Linked DNA regions of Schizosaccharomyces pombe. Changing the gene in region 1 together with any one later gene gives a genetic interaction. Each region holds a gene or a part of one and is shown in the gene's direction. Other genes may lie near its edges.

Region 1 (6,315 bases):
TTCTCGAGGAGTGGTACATAGAGATCTGAAGTTGGAGAATATATTGCTAGATACTAATCGAAATATCGTAATTGCGGATTTCGGCTTTGCGACTACTTTTGGGCACTTTAATACTCTCAGTGAACACTCATTGCCCACGGAAAAGCCAGATTTATTTAGTACATCATGTGGATCGCCTTGTTATGCGGCCCCTGAATTAGTGAATTGCAAGTCTGGAATGTATGCTGGCACACAAGCAGATATTTGGAGTTGCGGTGTCATTTTATATGCAATGTTGGCTGGGTATCTACCATTTGACGATGATCCACACAATCCAAATGGAGAAAATGTCCCTCGACTCTATCGGTATATTTGCAGTACTCCTTTAATATTTCCGGAGTTCTTTAAAAGCAAAGCTCGCGACATTCTTAAAAAAATTTTAGTTCCTGATCCAGCAAAACGTGTCCGAATGTCAGCAATTATGAATCACGCATATCTCCGGTCTCATGTGTCTCTATTTGAAACGTATAACGATGATGAAGCGACCTCACTGCGTCCGTCTCCCATCCGTTTGCTTTCTCAAAAATCTTTAGCTAGTGTTTCTTCAGTTTCGTCAATCAGCACTTACTCTTCTTCCATTGAATTGACTCCTCAGATCACAAAAACTTCATTAAATCGAGAAAAACCGGCATTACATGGCAGCATCAATCTTAAACACTCAACGAGGCCGGTTGTACCAATTGCAGATGGTATCTATGCTTCTACTACTCTTCATCCAATCGATAATGCTAAAAACCGCTTGGTTTCTTTACTGCGCCGTCCCAAGCATAAGGTTAAGCATGCCAAAGTTGAAACACGTGAATCTCCTATGAAAAATAAGCCAACTAAGAAACAACACAAGCGTGCATTTAGCATGTTTGAGAGGCCCACTTCTCAGAAAGCCCCATTGTCACCAGTAGAAAGCAAGATTAACCTTATGGTTGCTCCTAAACGTGTATTAAATTGTGCTTCAGATTCTTTAAGAGCTTTATTAGCAGGAAAGACGGATAAATCTTTTTGGGGTTCACGTATACCATTCTTGTTTAATAAATTGAAATCCAAACAGAAGGCTGTATCCAGCTCCTTCAATACGGAAAACTCATTTTTAATTCTTCAAGCAGTTTCGCCTTTAACTTTTGGAGGTTGTTTCAAAGAAGAAAACGCGTATGGGCAGAAGAAGCAGCACATGAGACACGCTACCGTTTTTTAATGTTTGCGTTACGATATTGTATATCTCAACAATGCATGATAATTATCAAACTGCCTGTTTCCTATATTAGTTTTTTAAAAAGATGGCTCTTCGACTTTTTCTTAAGAAAAGCGGTTTATATGGTTATCAATTATTAAAGCTTGAATTGATTGTTTGACAATGTTGAACAATGGGTTTCCTAAAAAAAGACGCTTTAGCTGATTTTTATCGTTTATCAGCGTGTATATTACTTGCCTTGTACTTTACAGTTTCCGCTTTTCATCTTTATTCTAACTTTTTATTTTAATTTTTAATTTTTTGGTACAAGCACCTTTCGTTCTTTAAACTACTTTTAAACTATTAAATTTCTTTCACTCATATGTCCTTATATCTAATTCACTCGTTAATAATATTTTATCATTACCCTTGAGTTATACTTATTAGTAAATAGTGTAATATTTTAATTACAATAAATGGAACGCGTTCTTTTACGCGTCTCTTCTTTAAGCAAGTACATTGCGAGTCTAACACGAACGTAATAAAGAGTTGAGCACCACATTTTGAAATCGCATCTTTCAAGCTTCAATATTGCGAAGTACTAATTAATAAAATCAGCCTATGGCTCTTATGGATATAGAGCATTGAAAGTTTACTGCATTTGTCATTTATTTGTTAAATACCCAAGGTGAATAGTACAAAAGCGTGCAAAAGCCAACTTTTGCGATGATAAAGTTACAGTTTCAAAGAAACATTGTCCCAACACATGACAATCCGTTAACGACTTCCGAGATTTTAAAACGACTACGTGATTTACTAGGAGAGCTTACTAGCCTATCCCAAGATACTATCGACCGTGACTCAGTATTGCCAGTAGCACGATCATTAGTAAATAACAATTTGCTCCATCACAAAGATAAAGGGATACGCTCTTATACACTTTGTTGTATTGTTGAATTGCTTCGTTTATGTGCCCCCGATGCGCCCTTCACTTTATCACAATTGGAAGATATTTTCCAAGTAATTCTCAAAATTCTTAGTGGTCTTATGAATCAAGAATCTACTTATTATCCACAAATTTACGAGATATTAGAGAGTTTGTCGAACGTTAAATCTGCAGTTCTAATAGTTGATCTCCCGAATGCTGAAGAATTCTTAGTAAATATCTTTCGTCTCTTCTTTGATTTAGCGAGAAAGGGTACTACCAAGAATGTCGAGTTTTACATGCTTGATATTATTAACCAGTTGATCAATGAGATTAACACCATTCCTGCTGCTGCCTTGAACATACTATTTGCTCAACTAATATCAGGAAAGGGCGTAAGGCAAACAATTGGCTCTTCCGATTCTACTAATCACGGTCCAGCTTTTCAACTAGCGAGAAATATTTTTCATGACTCAGCAGATCGACTACAAAGATATGTTTGCCAGTATTTCTCAGATATTATATTCGATTCAAGAGATTCGCTTTCTGACTCCATGACTACTCCAGAATTTATATTCTCGCACAATTTAGTTTTACAATTATGGAAATATGCACCAACCACGTTATTGAACATTATTCCACAATTCGAAAATGAATTGCAAGCTGAACAAACTAGTGTGCGACTTGTGGCGATAGAAACTGTTGGTTTGATGCTCCAAGACAACGCCATATGGTCCGATTATCCTAGGGTATGGAGTGCATTTTGTGGTCGGCTCAATGATAAATCAGTTGCATGTCGTATCAAATGCATTGAAGTTGCTTCCAACGCTCTTCAGAATTCATTGGCTACTTCTGAGATAATTGAAAACGTAGTTCAAATGCTTCAATCAAAGTTGGCCGACACGGATGAAAAGGTGCGGGTTGCTACTCTTAAAACGATCGAACAGTTGACTTTCGAAACCTTTAAAATGCAATTTTCAGTACAGGCTTTGAAACTCATGGGTGACCGTTTACGTGATCGTAAACTCAATGTTCGTTTACAAGCAATTCGGACACTAAGTCAAATTTATAATAGAGCATATCAAGACCTTATAGATGGTGTGGAATACTCAATACAGATGTTCAGCTGGATCCCTTCATCTCTTTTGGAAGTATTTTATGTTAATGATGAAACAACTAATGCGGCTGTTGAAATTTGTATGGCTGAACTGGTCCTACAATACCTTAGTTCTGATACGCAAACAAGGTTAAACAGGCTTTTCCTTTCAATAAAGTATTTTAGTGAAAAAGCGATGCGAGTTTTTATTCTACTTTTACAAAGACAAGTTAAGTATTCGGAACTCTTAAATTACTACATTGAGTGCTGCAAAAATTACAATGGAGGTGTTATGGATAATGATGAAGAGTCAATTACCAACAAGCTTAAGAAGGTGATTGATATCATATCATCAAAAAGTTCTAATCCTACATTAACAGAAGCCACTTTCAGAAAATTTGCGGAACTTAATGATCGTCAAAGCTACAAAATGCTTTTACAAACGTTTTCCATTAAAAGTGAATATCAAGTTGTTTTAAAAAGCATAAAATATTTATTTAAAAGGGTTTCTGAAACGTTGAGTACCGCAAGTCTTGAATGTTTTAGAATATTCGTTTACCGTTCAGCTCTGTTTGCTTTTAATAAAAGCAACGTGCATGAAATAATTCAATTATTAAATGAACCTGTAAAATACCACAATTTCCTTAAGCCGTCGGAGGCTCTTTTACAGCATTTACCGCTAATTCATCCCAACATATATGGAGAGGTTGTTATAGAAGTTGAAAATATTATAGTTTCTTCGGGCATTGAATCGGATCCTAAAGTAATTAAAGCTCTTTCCCAATTCTCCAAAAGAAAAAAAAATTTTTCTATACAAACAACAACTGCTGAAATACTACGAAAGTTGTGTCTACATGGAACACAGGAACAAGCCAAACAGGCAGCGACGATTATCGCTATAACGGAGACGAAAGAATTCAAACTCGATATGATAACGAATATCGTGGAAAATTTGGAGTATAATGGAGGACTTCCTGTACGGCTTATGACTTTAGGACAACTATTTCTATACACTTTAGAAGAGGTAGAGAAGGTTGCTGACCAAGTTACAGAATTTTTAGTAAAAAAAGTTATACAGCGCTTTCCTGAAAAATATGATGATACGCATAATGATGAGGAATGGTGTACTTACGAAAAATTAGATAATCTTACCATGTGCAAAGTTTTAGCAATTAGGGTTTTGGTTAATCGACTGAGGGCGGCGGCAGGAGGAACCGAAGCGTTAAATATTGGAGCTCCTATCATTAAGCTATTGAAAGTATTGTTAATGGCTGACGGTGAATTAAGTCCGTTCAAGAATACTCCCAAAATTTCTCGTGCTTATTTACGTCTCACTGCTAGCAAATATTTTTTAAAGTTATGTTCCATTCCTTTTTATGCGGAACATATAGATTTTAGTTCTTACGTTCAAATCTCCTTATTATGCCAAGATGAAAATTTTGACGTGAGAAATTTATTTTTGACGAAGCTTCAGAAGCAGCTGCAACTTAAAAAGTTGCCAATTAGTTATTATCCTTTATTGTTCCTGACTGCTGTTGATCCGGAAGAGGAGATCAAGACTAAAGCGTCTATATGGATACGTTCTCAGGTTGCTTTTTTCCAGAAAACCCATGATTTTACCATGGAATATGTAGCAACATATCTTATCCATCTTCTCTCTCACCATCCAGACATATCTTCGATAGAATCAGAGAACTCGCTTGATTTTATTGCATACATTCGCTTTTACGTTGACACTGTTGTTAATAGTGAGAACGTCCCAATCGTTTTTCATCTAATGCAACGCATAAAACAAAGCTATGATGTTATTGAAGATGGAAACAATTACATTTATGTGCTAAGCGACATGGCTCAGAAAATATTGCAGGTGAAATCCCAGAACTTTGGATGGAGTTTGACTACGTATCCAAAGCAAATTAAATTACCTTACGAAATTTTAAGACCAATTCCCTCTATAGATGAGAAAAAGAGAATTTTCAATAAAATCTTCATAACGCCTAAAATGGAAAGTCAGATTGAACATGCTATAAGGACACCAGTCTCATCTTTTGCGAAACAGACTACCAATAAGCACGCAAATTTGAAGCAAAAGAAGACTCATAGCTCAAAGAGCGATAAAAAATCGTCTAGAAGAAGGAAAAACGAAAAAAGGAGAAAGCTAAATGAGCAGAATCCTAATATTAGGAACGTGCCAGAACGAAGTAGCTCAAGATTTCAAGGGATTCGTATAAATTATTCGGAAGCACCGTCTTCAAGTGAGGAGATAAGCGAAGAAGAGGAGGAAATTAGCGAAGAAGATTTTGATGAAATAGAGGATTTATAAAAAAGGCTTATTTGGATGCGAAATACCGATACTAGAACACTTACCCAATATTACCAATGAATTTTCAATGTTAATTAGATAAATTGCTATCTTTTTTGTTAAACAATCTATGCTTGCTAATTGCCTAAACTTTTGAAAGATGACTCCATCACATACATGCCTCCATAACTTCTGCATCTATTAATTTTTTTCATTCCTAGTAATATAATAATAAAAGTTGCATTTTTGAGTTTTTTTACGCTTTACAATTCGTAAAATCTAATAGTGAGATTGGATTAGCCGCTGTAGTATATCTTAATAAAGCATGGCTGGGCGAACTAATTACGGTGACCGCACAATATATTTACCTACAACCAACACCGGTGTTTGATACTTAGGGGTTTGAACTTTCTAGGAATTCAATAAAGTGAAGCAAAGCTTTACGATTAATTATTTTTTGTGAAATAGTATGCCCACCATTAAGTGTGTCGTAGTAGGAGACGGTGCTGTAGGAAAGGTGAGTTGATGTTTACGGAAGGTGAAGTTAAGCAATGCATAAAAAAATACAAGAATTGCTATCATCTAAAATGAAGTTTCTTTTGTCTATACATTCCCCTTTATTTCTTTCTTTCCAAAAATTGTTCTTTTGAGTTTTACACATACTGACCGTTTGAATGTAGACCTGTCTGCTTATTTCCTATACTACAAACAAGTTTCCTAGTGACTATGTGCCAACTGTATTCGATAATGTAAGTATAATTAGTTGTTTATGGAATGAAGTACTTGGT
Region 2 (5,328 bases), on another chromosome or scaffold:
AAAACTTCACCAACACCAAACTCTGGGTACAATCTTCACTGTACATTCGTGATTAAAGAATAATCGATTGTTGAGTGTTTAATATCAGTTGTTCAATTCAAAGGCATTCCCAAAGCAGGAGACAGTATTGTCTACATTAACAATGGCTTATCTTATTGATATACCATTTGAATACTTCTCTTCTTTCCTTGGAGTCCACCCGGATCAGCTCAAGTTACTGTTTTGTTTTCTTTCAGCATACCCGTTTGCCGGCATACTAAAAAGACTTCCTTCGGCTCCATGGATTAGAAACTTATTTTCAATAAGCATAGGTTTATTTTATCTCATTGGTGTTCATCATCTTTACGATGGCGTTTTAGTTTTGCTATTTGACGCTTTGTTCACATATTTCGTGGCCGCGTTTTATCGATCGTCACGAATGCCATGGATCATATTTATAGTAATCCTTGGCCATACATTTAGCAGCCATGTTATTCGGTACATTTACCCTTCAGAAAATACTGATATTACTGCTTCACAAATGGTACTATGTATGAAGCTTACAGCGTTTGCCTGGTCTGTTTACGACGGTCGTCTTCCTTCAAGTGAATTATCTTCTTATCAAAAAGACCGCGCGTTGAGAAAGATTCCTAATATCTTGTATTTCCTTGGATACGTATTTTTCTTTCCCTCATTACTTGTTGGTCCAGCTTTTGATTATGTTGATTACGAAAGGTTTATAACCCTTTCTATGTTTAAGCCTTTGGCTGATCCTTATGAAAAACAGATAACACCACACAGTTTGGAACCAGCCTTAGGTCGTTGCTGGCGAGGTCTGTTGTGGCTGATTTTATTTATTACCGGAAGCTCAATCTATCCTTTAAAGTTTCTACTTACACCTAAGTTTGCTTCCTCCCCTATTTTGCTAAAATATGGATACGTTTGCATAACTGCTTTTGTTGCAAGAATGAAATATTATGGCGCATGGGAACTTTCTGACGGTGCATGTATATTGTCAGGCATTGGTTATAATGGCCTGGATTCTTCTAAGCATCCTCGTTGGGATCGAGTGAAGAATATTGACCCTATTAAGTTCGAATTCGCAGATAATATCAAATGTGCTCTTGAGGCTTGGAACATGAATACCAATAAATGGCTTCGAAATTACGTTTATTTGAGAGTTGCAAAGAAGGGAAAGCGTCCAGGGTTCAAAAGTACGCTAAGCACATTCACTGTTAGTGCAATGTGGCATGGAGTTTCTGCTGGATATTATTTGACTTTTGTTTCCGCAGCCTTTATCCAAACAGTTGCAAAATACACGCGTCGCCATGTTCGCCCATTTTTCCTTAAACCAGATATGGAAACTCCTGGGCCTTTTAAGCGAGTCTATGATGTTATTGGTATGGTAGCAACAAACCTCTCTCTCTCCTATCTAATTATCTCTTTCCTTCTTTTGAATCTAAAAGAATCAATACACGTTTGGAAAGAGCTATATTTTATTGTGCATATATATATATTGATAGCTCTGGCTGTGTTCAATTCCCCAATAAGGTCGAAATTAGATAATAAGATACGATCCAGAGTCAACAGCTATAAACTAAAAAGTTACGAACAATCTATGAAATCCACTAGTGATACGGACATGTTAAATATGTCGGTGCCCAAAAGAGAAGATTTTGAAAATGATGAATGAAGGATTAATTTGCTATGAGGTAGCATCATATGCAATAAATTGAAGCATTTGAATATTTTGCAGCTTTGTTAACAGCAATTTCATCTTAATTGTTCATCATATACAATACCTTTCATGGCGGCAGTATATTCATTGTGTTTATATATATGTTTACATATTAAAGTAGTCTCTTAAATAAAATTCCTGAATGTTTTCTCTCAATTCAGTTTTTAAGTTTAACATCTAATTTCCTTTGATGATTTATTTTGGTTACAACATTATGAGAGTTTGAATTTATTTTGCTTTAGTATCTGGTAGTAGGTAACGTTGCTATATCTAGTACCTTAGTCCACTAAATTCAACACGAACGCGCTATAGAACTTGAGCGATTCTTATTAAAGAACTTTTTTGAGGGTATGAACTGAATGGAATTAGGCAAAAGCAAATTCTCTTGGAAGGACTTGCAATATTGTGATAAAGCAGGTACACAAAATTCACCGTTAAGGGTTGTAGCTCATATTGATCAGGATGCTTTTTACGCTCAAGTCGAAAGTGTTCGCCTAGGATTAGACCATTCAGTTCCCCTTGCTGTTCAACAATGGCAAGGGCTTATTGCTGTAAACTACGCAGCCCGTGCAGCGAATATTTCACGCCATGAAACAGTTACTGAAGCAAAAAAGAAATGTCCAGAGCTTTGTACCGCTCATGTAAAAACTTGGAAAGCTGGGGAGTCAGAGGCTAAGTACCATGAAAACCCAAATCCTAACTACTATAAAACCTGTTTAGATCCTTATCGGCACGAAAGCGTTAAGATTCTTAACATCATAAAGAAACATGCGCCTGTGGTTAAGAAGGCTAGTATTGACGAATGTTTTATTGAACTTACGAGTGATGTTAAACGGATTGTGTTGGAGGAATATCCTTACTTGAAAATTCCCTCTGAGGACTCAAATGTTGCTTTGCCGCAGGCTCCAGTGCTACTATGGCCTGCTGAGTTTGGAATGGTCATTGAAGAAGAAGTTGTAGATAGAACGAAAGAAGATTATGAAAGGGATTGGGATGATGTTTTTTTATTTTACGCTGCAAAAATCGTGAAAGAAATTCGCGATGATATATACTTGCAACTCAAATACACGTGCTCAGCAGGAGTTTCTTTTAACCCAATGCTTTCAAAGCTTGTCAGCTCGCGTAATAAACCAAACAAGCAAACTATTTTAACGAAAAATGCAATTCAAGATTATTTAGTGTCATTAAAGATTACTGATATAAGAATGCTGGGCGGAAAATTTGGAGAAGAAATAATTAATTTATTAGGAACAGATTCTATTAAGGATGTTTGGAATATGAGTATGGACTTTTTGATAGATAAGCTTGGTCAAACTAACGGTCCACTCGTTTGGAATTTGTGCCATGGAATTGATAACACTGAGATTACTACACAAGTTCAGATTAAATCAATGTTGTCGGCTAAAAATTTTTCTCAGCAAAAAGTGAAGTCTGAAGAAGATGCAATTAACTGGTTTCAAGTATTCGCATCTGATCTTCGATCACGATTCCTTGAACTTGAAGGAATGAGAAGGCCCAAGACCATTTGTTTGACTGTTGTATCAAGATTTCTGAGAAAGTCAAGGTCAAGTCAAATACCTATGAATGTTGATATTAGCACTCAGTTTATTGTTGAAGCAACATCCAAACTGTTGCGTCAACTGCAACAGGAATTCGATGTATATCCGATTTCAAACTTATCTATTAGCTTTCAAAACATCATAGAGGTTGATCGTAATTCTAGGGGAATTGAGGGTTTTTTAAAAAAGTCCAATGATGAAATCTACATGTCTACTTCTGTTTCACCTTCTATTGAGGGACGCGCTAAATTATTGAACGAAAATATGAGGGAAAATAATTCTTTTGAATTATCTTCGGAAAAAGATATAAAGTCACCTAAAAGGTTGAAAAGAGGTAAAGGTAAAGGGATTTTTGATATGCTACAACAGACCGCTGTTTCTAAACCAACGGAGAATTCAGCTGATGAAACTTACACGTGTGAAGAATGCGAACAGAAAATTACTTTATCCGAAAGAAATGAACATGAAGATTATCATATAGCTCTCTCCATTTCGAGAAAAGAACGCTATAATAACTTAGTACCGCCATCCCATGATAAACCTAAGCAAGTAAAGCCTAAAACATATGGAAGGAAAACCGGTAGCAAGCATTATGCACCTTTATCCGATGAAACAAACAACAAAAGAGCATTTTTGGACGCATTTTTAGGAAACGGTGGAAATCTGACACCAAATTGGAAAAAGCAAACGCCAAAAGCAATTTCCAACAGCTCAGACAACATGACCCAGTTACACTTAGATTTGGCTAATTCCACCGTAACTTGTTCAGAATGTTCTATGGAGTACAATTCAACGAGCGAAGAAGATATTTTGCTTCATTCTAGGTTTCATTCTCGGGTTCTAGGAGGTGTTACTGTGTCCTTTCAATGCTCTCCTATTTATCGCGTTAACTATGGTTTGAGTTCCGATTGCATATACAGCATAAATTCAGAAAGCTCATTAATTGATCAAAGAAAAGCAGAGGAAGCTTTATCTTTCGTAAATAACGAACTTTCAAGTGAGCCTATTGAAACAATTGGGGTAGATAAATATACCACATTTCTATTCATATCAGATAAGAAATGTGTCGGATTACTTCTGGCAGAGCGTATATCTTCTGCATACATAGTCGATGAACTTGAACTCAACAACAACAATAGCACCTCTTCCGCAGTATATATAAAAAACGAAAATCTACGAAAGGGGTTTGTATTGGGTATTTCCAGGATTTGGGTATCAGCTTCAAGACGCAAACAAGGGATAGCAAGTTTACTATTAGACAATGCTTTAAAAAAATTCATTTACGGTTACGTTATATCGCCTGCAGAAGTTGCTTTTAGTCAGCCTAGTGAAAGTGGTAAACAGTTCATTATTTCGTGGCATCGTTCTCGAAACAATGGTTCTTCGAAGTCACTTCGATATGCTGTTTATGAAAGTTGAAAATAGTCTGACAAAATTAAAGTTGTTCTAAATATCTATCTAAGCGTTATATAGAAGTTTTTTTTTTAAATTATTAATTAATCATTAATGAAAACCGTTTTGTTTAACGAAATGTTTGGCTTTGCCTAATGAATGATGCTTAAGGGCATCTATTACAACTGGGAACACTTCCTCTTTAACATCCTGGCCCCATAGAAAGTCAAGATGTTCATAATGAGCAATCTAACTTATATTAGCATATTGAGCAACAAACCTATAAAATAAAAGGCTTACCGAAACTTCCTTTGCATGGGGAGGAAGAGCAGTTCTCATTACTTCCATATTGATCAAAGTATCTTTACCTCCCCATAGTATCAGCATTGGGCATTTGATATTATTCGTAGGAAACAGAGGAACTTGGTAATGGCGTGAACCATATCCAGCTAGAAGAGCCATATCGTCGTCATAAAGCTGGAAAGTACAGTTTTTTATAATCTGAAGCCAGTGAACAACACTCTTTACACTTGAAAAAGAGTAAAGATGTGCATAACCGCAAAGTTTTTGATTAAGAGAAATGTTGGATAGGTCCCAGTTGAATAAAATTTTAAGGGATACATCGACAATTTTTACAAAAATTGGGGGATCTGTAGAGTA
Region 3 (7,758 bases), 1.5 Mb from region 1:
ATGAATCGATGGTTTTTAGATCGACTAAAGATTTATACATTAGTGAAAGATACAACATCCGCTCACTAACCAAATTTTTAGAGTGTTTAGAAGCCATACTCAACTTTGTTGGAGACAAAGCTATAGTACTGAAAAGCGTATTGATATCCTTTGTAGTCAGTTGCAAAGAAGAATCTTTTCGAAGTCGCTCAAAAATTGAAAGAGTAAAATCCAAAGAAAAATTATTAGGATTTTGGAGATGCATTTTCTTATATTTTTCCAAAGTACTCGTCAGATTTTGTGAATTGACGTTTAACAAGATATCCTGGGTATCGCAATAAAGGGATGCGGCACTTTTTAAAGAAAAGTTACAAGTATGGAAACTTCTCCGAAATACGTTCGAGTGGTTATTAATAAAATTTGGAGGTAAAGAATTATCAGGTGTAGATTTACTAGTGAGTGAGACCCTAGATTGTTTGCCATGTTCGAGATCAGAATACAAAGTTTCATCCTTAACATGTTCAATATTGTCCAGTTTATAGTATTCCCTAAAATTTTTTGTAATTACATGAATGCTTATGCCGAAGTTTTCGATACTGAGACATGTCCAATTATTTTCAGACGTGTTTAATTGTCGGTTTGACAAATTGGAACGTTTCCTCATTCTCCGTTCTAAAATTTTTCTCCGAGATGCACTAGTAAGGCCATCTACGTTCACCGGTCCAACGTTTTTTTGTTTTAAAAGGCGAAGTAAGCCATTAGTAGCGGATACAACTTCAGATCCACAGTTGCAAGAAGCTAGTAAAATAAGATCTGAATCACACCAAAAAGAATCGGCGGGTGAGTTAACAAAACTGAGATCAGTGGCATAATACTTCTTTTTAAGAAGGTTTAACACATCAGCTAAAAAGTTTGGAGCACCTTTTGGAATAGGTGGCAGCGCAACCGCATCGAAATGCGCTTTTTTAGGAAATAGATTATGTTTTTCATCCACATACCATGGTTTTTTGCTTGAGACTTCCTCTGGTTGCGAATTAGCGTCATTACTTGAATTATCAGGAACTAAATTTTCAGGAAACTTTTGAGAAGCGAAAGGTCGTTTGTCAAATTTGCTTCGAAAAAAGGAAACACATAGTTTGTTGAAACGTAGATAATTAAAGCGATATGTGGGCATTTTTTAATAAAATATGAAATCTCAGCACAGTCATTAAAAATATAAGAATTAATATAATTGAAGTGTTACCTTATAAAGCCGAAAAAAGAATTTCTCAATGCTGTTCTATCACAGTATAACATGAAGACATTGTCTTCTGTTTGAATAGTAATAGATAAAACTTAGATTAAAGCAACAAAAATATTTAGTATGTTTTAAAACAAGACCGCAAATTATTAGGAGAAAACCAAATATTTAATGACCTTGGCACGTTTTCCTAACCAAGAGACCGATTCTAAATAGTGTTCCACTGTAGAAATACGTAATCACCAATATCCGAAATGTACGAACGTTTCTTATGTCAGCAATACTACATTACGCTATGATACACTACGTTGCGTATCACTATATGTCACATGTTCTAATTATATATCGTACCATTTATGATACGATATGGAAATTAATCTTAATGATAATCTATTAAGATCTATATTATCTGAATACTATAAATAGAGCTACTGCTGAACTCGTTCCTCAGTTCAGTTATGAGCTATATTAGTGATAGGTAACATTATAACCCAGTTAATACAATACCTATACTCAGTTGCTACTTATACAACCTGTGTATTGTAATATAATAGATCACAAGGAAAACTCACCGCAGTTCTACGTATCCTTAAATCAGATACCAAACTGCGTAGCTTACATCTTAATTGCATTTTCCCGTTTCGGTCTATTGCCTTAAACTTGTTTACGCTTTATATATACCGACGTTTCTTTGTTTTTAGATGAATGAATTTAATGATAAATACTTCCCTTTCTTAGCTTTGCAATGTTTTGATGCTTTTCGAGATGACACCTGAAACCTTTAAAAAAGTTAACTCCTCTAATCGAATTATTAAAGGGCTTCAATACACACCATTAGCATCATCAATCCCATTGGAAAATGGTATGCATACAGTTTGAACGCGTCTATTAATTTACATAGGTTTACAAAACGTATTATATCCATCTTCTAAATTTCAAAATGAGCCATTGCAACTTAACTCCGAAGAATCAAGTATTATGCAAAGATATGTGGATATGCTAAATCCTGGCGCAACATTCGTTAACGATTCTGAAACCTTTAATTTTTATAAAAATGCTCTTAGCGCTATGATAACGGAACCTGCAATGCCCGCAATGTAAGTTAAATTTTTTGAGGTTTTTTATCTGACAAATATAAAGGAGGGTGAATGCCAGTCCGGTCCTAGACCAAAAGGTGTGTAACAGTGACTCGTTAAGTGAATTAAATGATTTTACAAAATCTCTGATTCAGCCAAGTATGTTGATGTGTGAACCCAAGGAGAAACCTGATGCTTCTTCTATAAATACAAACCGTTCATCTTCCGACAATGGCTTCTTAACTCCGTCTTCAAGTCCTCGAAGTCCATCATGTTCTCGCGTATTTAACGCTGTTCAATTATGTAGCCCTAAAAAATCTAAAGATGATATTACTACCCCAAAAAAGCGACTTATGGAAGACACTTATTCGCCTCGTGAATCTCCCTCAAAGATCCAGCGGTTGCAGGACGTTTTGTTAAAGCAGTTGCAAGATACCAGATTACTAATTTCTCAAGTTATAGAAGCTGAGAATTCGGAAGATTTTTCATCGAATTCTCTCTTTATTAAACGAGAAGACGATGATGGAAAACACATTTCATCGCACGCAATTGAAAAGCTATATATGGCATTAACCAAGCTTAGTCGTTTGGGAGCTTGTGACAAATTGCTGGAAGAAGGGAGTATAATACTTGTAAAACAAATCCTTGAGAAAGAGTTAAAAGAGCTTCCTGTCGCTTGTTACAGTATAATTAATCTTCATGACAGCCTCACACAATTTCCGAATTTAGACTTTATTTTAAAGACCACTGCTCTTGTTCTTTTTATAATATTTCTGGTCCCCTCCTTTAAAAAGCTTCAAAATGAAGAATCAATTCTTCATTTACTTAATATCTTACATTCCATATTTGAGTACACAGTTCCTGAAGCGATTGATAACATCGTTCAATCAAAAACTTCCGATGCTAGGACTTCTGAAATTCAACATCTATCAGTTTTGTTACAAAAAGTCGCAAATGTATTAAACATCTTATCTAAAGTTGCCCATGAAATTCCCTTGTCGGAAGCTGTGGTCATACGCATTGTATATTTATTTCCCAAAGTCTCTACACTCGACAATTCCTTCAAAACTAAACTTCCTAACTGTAACAGCTCATCCTTCGATTTTCTTAAAGCTCCTTTATTTCAAACGTTACAATATTTATTTCGTCTTTATCCTTATCAGCGAGATTTTATCATTGAAGAATCACTTACAAATTTTTCTCACTTGCCCACTGCTCGTTCGGTCTCAAGGACCTATAGACTCTCTAACGGTAAATCCATACAATACTATTCAACCCTATTTGTACGTTTAATTCAGTCATGCTCCATTCAAAACTTATTCGACTCAGAAATTGTACAATCGGAGAGCAAATCCACTGAAGCTTTACACTCAGGTAACTTAACAGAACATCTGAAAACAGTATGTAATGAACACTAAATAAAAATCAATTTCTAACGTGTAGGTCGAATCAATACTATCCAAGTCTCGACATGAAGAATACCGGATAGCTAATCATATTGTTGCTTATTTGCTTAGTCGTTCTTTAAAACAGAATAAAACGGAGAGTGACAACTCATTTGCAATTTTAACCAAAATCCTTTTAGAAGATTTATTAAACATGCTTTCTTTGCCTGAATGGTGCGGAACCGAAACAATTATTCGGCAATTTGCAATGAATTTAGTTATGACTGTGACTAACGACAAACAAGCAGTTTCTTCAAAGAATGCTGCGCTGGATCTTATAAGTCTCATCGTTAACAAGGTTTTGGCATTGTTTGATCTTTCCCTTTTCGAGAAGCACAATATCCCAGCTCCTACGAATTTCAATGATATAATATCGTTCATTCCCTCAATTACTAGATTAAATGAACTTTCTCAAGTTAGCTTTAACCATTTTTACTTTTTATGCAAAGGTGACATATCTCTGGAAGTAAGTGAAAGTTAATTGCTTGTTTATTATATACTAACTTACAGAACATACTCCCTTATAACTACAATAAATGGTTTTCATTTCTCTTACAGCTTAGAAAAGTATGCAATGACTCCGAAGCTTTAAAAATTATTGATAATTGTATCGATAAGAATATGCAAAAGTCTCAAGAGGGGTTTCAAGGTCCTTCACCATTTAAAGCAGATGAAAATGACGAAGATATTTTCATTATATCCCTTTATCATTCTTCTTTGTTTTTAAATTTAAAGTTTTTTGTCTCGCTCATTATAGGCTTTCTCGATAGTCCTCAAGCTAGTCTTCGAACTAAATGCCTTCGAATCATCAATCAAATGAAAACTATACCTTCTATATTAAGAACACATCCAGAAGTTTTGGCTCAGATAATATCAAAATCGAATGATCAGTCTGCGATAGTTCGAGATACTGTGTTAGACTTACTTGGCACATATATCATGGCATATCGGGAGACAATTCCTCAAATATATGGTTGTATAATTTCTGGAATTTCGGATCCTTCAACAATCGTTCGTAAACGCGCTATAAAGCAACTATGTGAGGTTTATGAAGCTACCGAAGATTTAAATATCCGTGTTGACATAGCTTCAAAACTTTTAACCCGGAGTAATGATGAAGAGGAAACAATCAGTGAATTAAGCCTTGAGGTTTTAGAAAAACTTTGGTTTTCACCCGCAAGCAATGAATTAGATTGTCAAAAAGGCTATGAGCAATTAACTTTCTTAGAAAAGCAGAAGTTAAGAGTTCAGTATTTTCCTATTTTAAAACTATGTGCTGAACCATCAACCGAAAGACACGTCCTGTTGGTAACGTCTCTGAAAACCATGTTGACTTCTAAGGAAGAGATCAATTTGAGTACACTACACACTCAAATTCGACTTCTTCTCTCTTGTCTTTTCAATCAGCTAATAGAAGTTGTAACCGAAGATCAAGTTGATGAATCAACAAAGGGAATTTTATACGAAATAATGAGTACATTGTTTGTTTTTTCACGCGCTTTTCCCTTCCTCTTTGACTTGTCTTATCTACACCTCTTAAAACCCTATTTACGATCTGCTTCAACTATTGAAGAGCAACGTTTTCTTTACTATGTAGTAGCTATTTTTAGACAGGTTTTACCATTTCAAAAAGAAATTTCTGAAAGCTTCCTACGGAGCCTTGAATCTGTGTTACTGCAAAGGCTTACTAAAGCCGGTACTGCAACGTTAATGGAAATAGTTCCTTGTCTTTGCAGCCTATTTACAAGACTTAATGATTATGAAAGGTTAAAGAAAATTGTGGTTTCGTGTCTTAAATCTTTAGAGGAGGCACGACACTCAGAAAACAATTTTCAAAAAATGGTTCGCTTAATAGACCTCATTGGGCTTTTTTCTAGATATGGGGATCTCAATAGAATAAATGATGATTGGAAACATTCACTTGATTTTATTAGTCCTGAGTGTGATGATGCTTACGTTATACTATTAGGTTATTTTCAGAAACTTCTAAAAGATGCGAAAGGTCAGCTGAGAATTCACATAATTGATAACATGAGCAGAATATGTTTAAGAGAAACATCTTTGTTTATATCTCCTCTTATGTTATCAACTTTGGATATGATAATTGCGGAAAATAATGTTAACGAAGTATCTGTTTTGTTTAAATCTTTTCTTGAGCTTTTGGCCGCGGATGAGGATCTTATCTTTGAAGCAGATCAAAAGCTAAGTTTAAAGGGTAAGCAAAACGTTCAGTCCAACAAATCAGTTGATCGAGATATGCTTAAAGGAACTAAGGATAAACAATGGATTGAAGGGTATGTATTTTATAAACAAACTATCACTAATTTAATGCAGAGTCAGTGCATCTTTAATGCAGCATTTCCTTCCCTGTATTCTTGACTCTTGCTTTTCAAAAAATTTAAGGTATTCAATGCTCGGAATTGAAATTCTCAAATGTATTATTCATCAAGGACTAGTAAACCCACGCATGGTATGCCACTTTTTACTTTTTGATTACTAATTAAATTAGTGTTTCTCAACCATAATAGCACTCGAATCCAATGCAATTAAAGAAACCAGAGAAGTAGCAATTTTGCTTCACACTGAATTGCACCGAAGACATGAATCTTTGATAGATGGCTTATATGCTCAATCTGCAGATTTAATATTTTCCCTTCAAAAAACGGAGGAATATCAAACATTTAAGTTAGGCGAATTTTCGCCGTTCCAAAGTGCCTATACCATTGTCTCCGCTGATAAAAGTTCAAAATCTAGGAAAAAATTAATAATGCAAATATTAAAACCTCTTAAACTCGACGGGATTGATTTACCCAGCTTTACAGAAGAAAAAGTTTCATTTGTAAGCTTTTGCTGTGTATGTCTGGCAGGAATTCCATACGTGTCAATAGAGGAACCGTTAATGATCATTTCAACAGTTGATTCGGTGCTCGCGACGATAGGCCCTACTATTACTGGGTGGATGAAAAAACTAGATCATGAACGTTTTAAAATCCTTGCAGGTATCAACTTGTGCAATTTGATATATCTTAAGAGATATATAAAATACGCATTTTCAATTTCAGACTCATCTCGACCTATACGTGAGAAAAAGCCTCTAACTCTTTTGAATAGAGGTTATGTGGATTTAATTACTTCTGATGCTAAGCCAGATATTGTTTCTAAGTTGGTAAGTTAAAGTTCCTTAACCAAATTGCTGACTGTTTTAGGTGATAAAATTGTTTGAAGAAGAAAATATCCTTTCTGGCGAGGATCAAGTTGAAGGGGAACAGCTTACAGTTGTCTAAATGAAAAAAGGGATTAAAAAAAAAATCAAAAAGCTCTCAAGCAGTATATTTCAAAAATATTTATTTTATATGGGTTATCAATATTTTTTTATGAAAAAACAGGTTATCCAATTTGATTTTTACTCACAATAATAGGCAGCAACATTTAAAAGTTCTGAACCATGAATACAACTCGCTCCAAATTTCATTTATGCATTATTTAATACCAATAAGACATTCTTTTCATTTATTGTTTAAATAAGTAACAAGTAAACAGCTTGAGATCCTTTTAATTAGATGTTAAGACATAACTGTTAAATGACACTGCTAGTTCTTTAACTATTAATAATAAGAAACAATCATTTTTAGAATAGTAAAGGAACTTGTATCGTCCCAAATTTTTATTTTTTGAATGTAATATTCAAATCAGGATATTTATATGTTGTCAGAGTATTGAATTTTCAAAGTACATGAGTAAGCACGAAGAGATAAACGTGCTACTACGATTACACTACAACGGCGGTAACCTTTAAAAAAAAAAGAAAAAAAGCTATTTCTAAAACACAGACATTTAAACGATTGAGTGAATGATTTCGCCTATAGTTTTCCATTGGCATCTCGTTAGCGTACTAAACGTCTCAGCTCAGCACAACACTTTACCTTTACCAAACCACCATCAAAAGCCATGGAATCACTACTGGCAGTTCAGGGTCAGGATTTTGTACTCACTGCTTCATCATCATCAGCAGTTCGTG

The links. Genes that interact genetically often act in the same process or in processes that back each other up.
Region 2: of pds5 (region 1) and eso1, a mutation in one rescues a mutant of the other (synthetic rescue), as found in Schizosaccharomyces pombe (3 studies listed by BioGRID).
Region 3: mutations in pds5 (region 1) and mis4 are lethal when combined (synthetic lethality), as found in Schizosaccharomyces pombe (3 studies listed by BioGRID, with this or other methods).

Annotation. Positions count from the first base shown.
Region 1 is NC_003424.3:1,910,112-1,916,426, forward strand, and holds pds5 (mitotic and meiotic cohesin loader subunit Pds5), read left to right. Parts: upstream 1-1,736; 5' UTR 1,737-1,930; coding exon 1,931-5,548; 3' UTR 5,549-5,786; downstream 5,787-6,315. Other genes in the region: serine/threonine protein kinase Ppk1, read left to right, coding at 1-1,228; Rho family GTPase Cdc42, read left to right, coding at 5,997-6,044, 6,208-6,276. UniProt on the Schizosaccharomyces pombe protein: Required for the establishment and maintenance of sister chromatid cohesion during S phase. Prevents their formation until eso1 is present. May also have a role during meiosis.
Region 2 is NC_003423.3:4,276,340-4,281,667, reverse strand, and holds eso1 (mitotic cohesin N-acetyltransferase/DNA polymerase eta Eso1 fusion protein), read left to right. Parts: upstream 1-2,014; 5' UTR 2,015-2,076; coding exon 2,077-4,695; 3' UTR 4,696-4,779; downstream 4,780-5,328. Other genes in the region: ale1 (MBOAT family O-acyltransferase), read left to right, coding at 143-1,672; SPOM_SPBC16A3.12C (triglyceride lipase-cholesterol esterase), read right to left, coding at 4,780-4,917, 4,969-5,318. UniProt on the Schizosaccharomyces pombe protein: Probable acetyltransferase required for the establishment of sister chromatid cohesion and couple the processes of cohesion and DNA replication to ensure that only sister chromatids become paired together.
Region 3 is NC_003424.3:391,104-398,861, reverse strand, and holds mis4 (adherin Mis4), read left to right. Parts: upstream 1-1,922; 5' UTR 1,923-1,972; coding exon 1,973-2,081; exon of another isoform or gene 2,082-2,120; coding exon 2,121-2,316; intron 2,317-2,359; coding exon 2,360-3,695; intron 3,696-3,738; coding exon 3,739-4,206; intron 4,207-4,250; coding exon 4,251-6,034; exon of another isoform or gene 6,035-6,074; coding exon 6,075-6,210; exon of another isoform or gene 6,211-6,249; coding exon 6,250-6,906; exon of another isoform or gene 6,907-6,946; coding exon 6,947-7,024; 3' UTR 7,025-7,234; downstream 7,235-7,758. Other genes in the region: ATP synthase complex assembly protein atp25, read right to left, coding at 1-1,153; pre1 (proteasome core particle subunit beta 4), read left to right, coding at 7,689-7,758. UniProt on the Schizosaccharomyces pombe protein: Plays a structural role in chromatin. Chromatid cohesion molecule required for equal sister chromatid separation in anaphase. May form a stable link between chromatids in S phase that is split rather than removed in anaphase.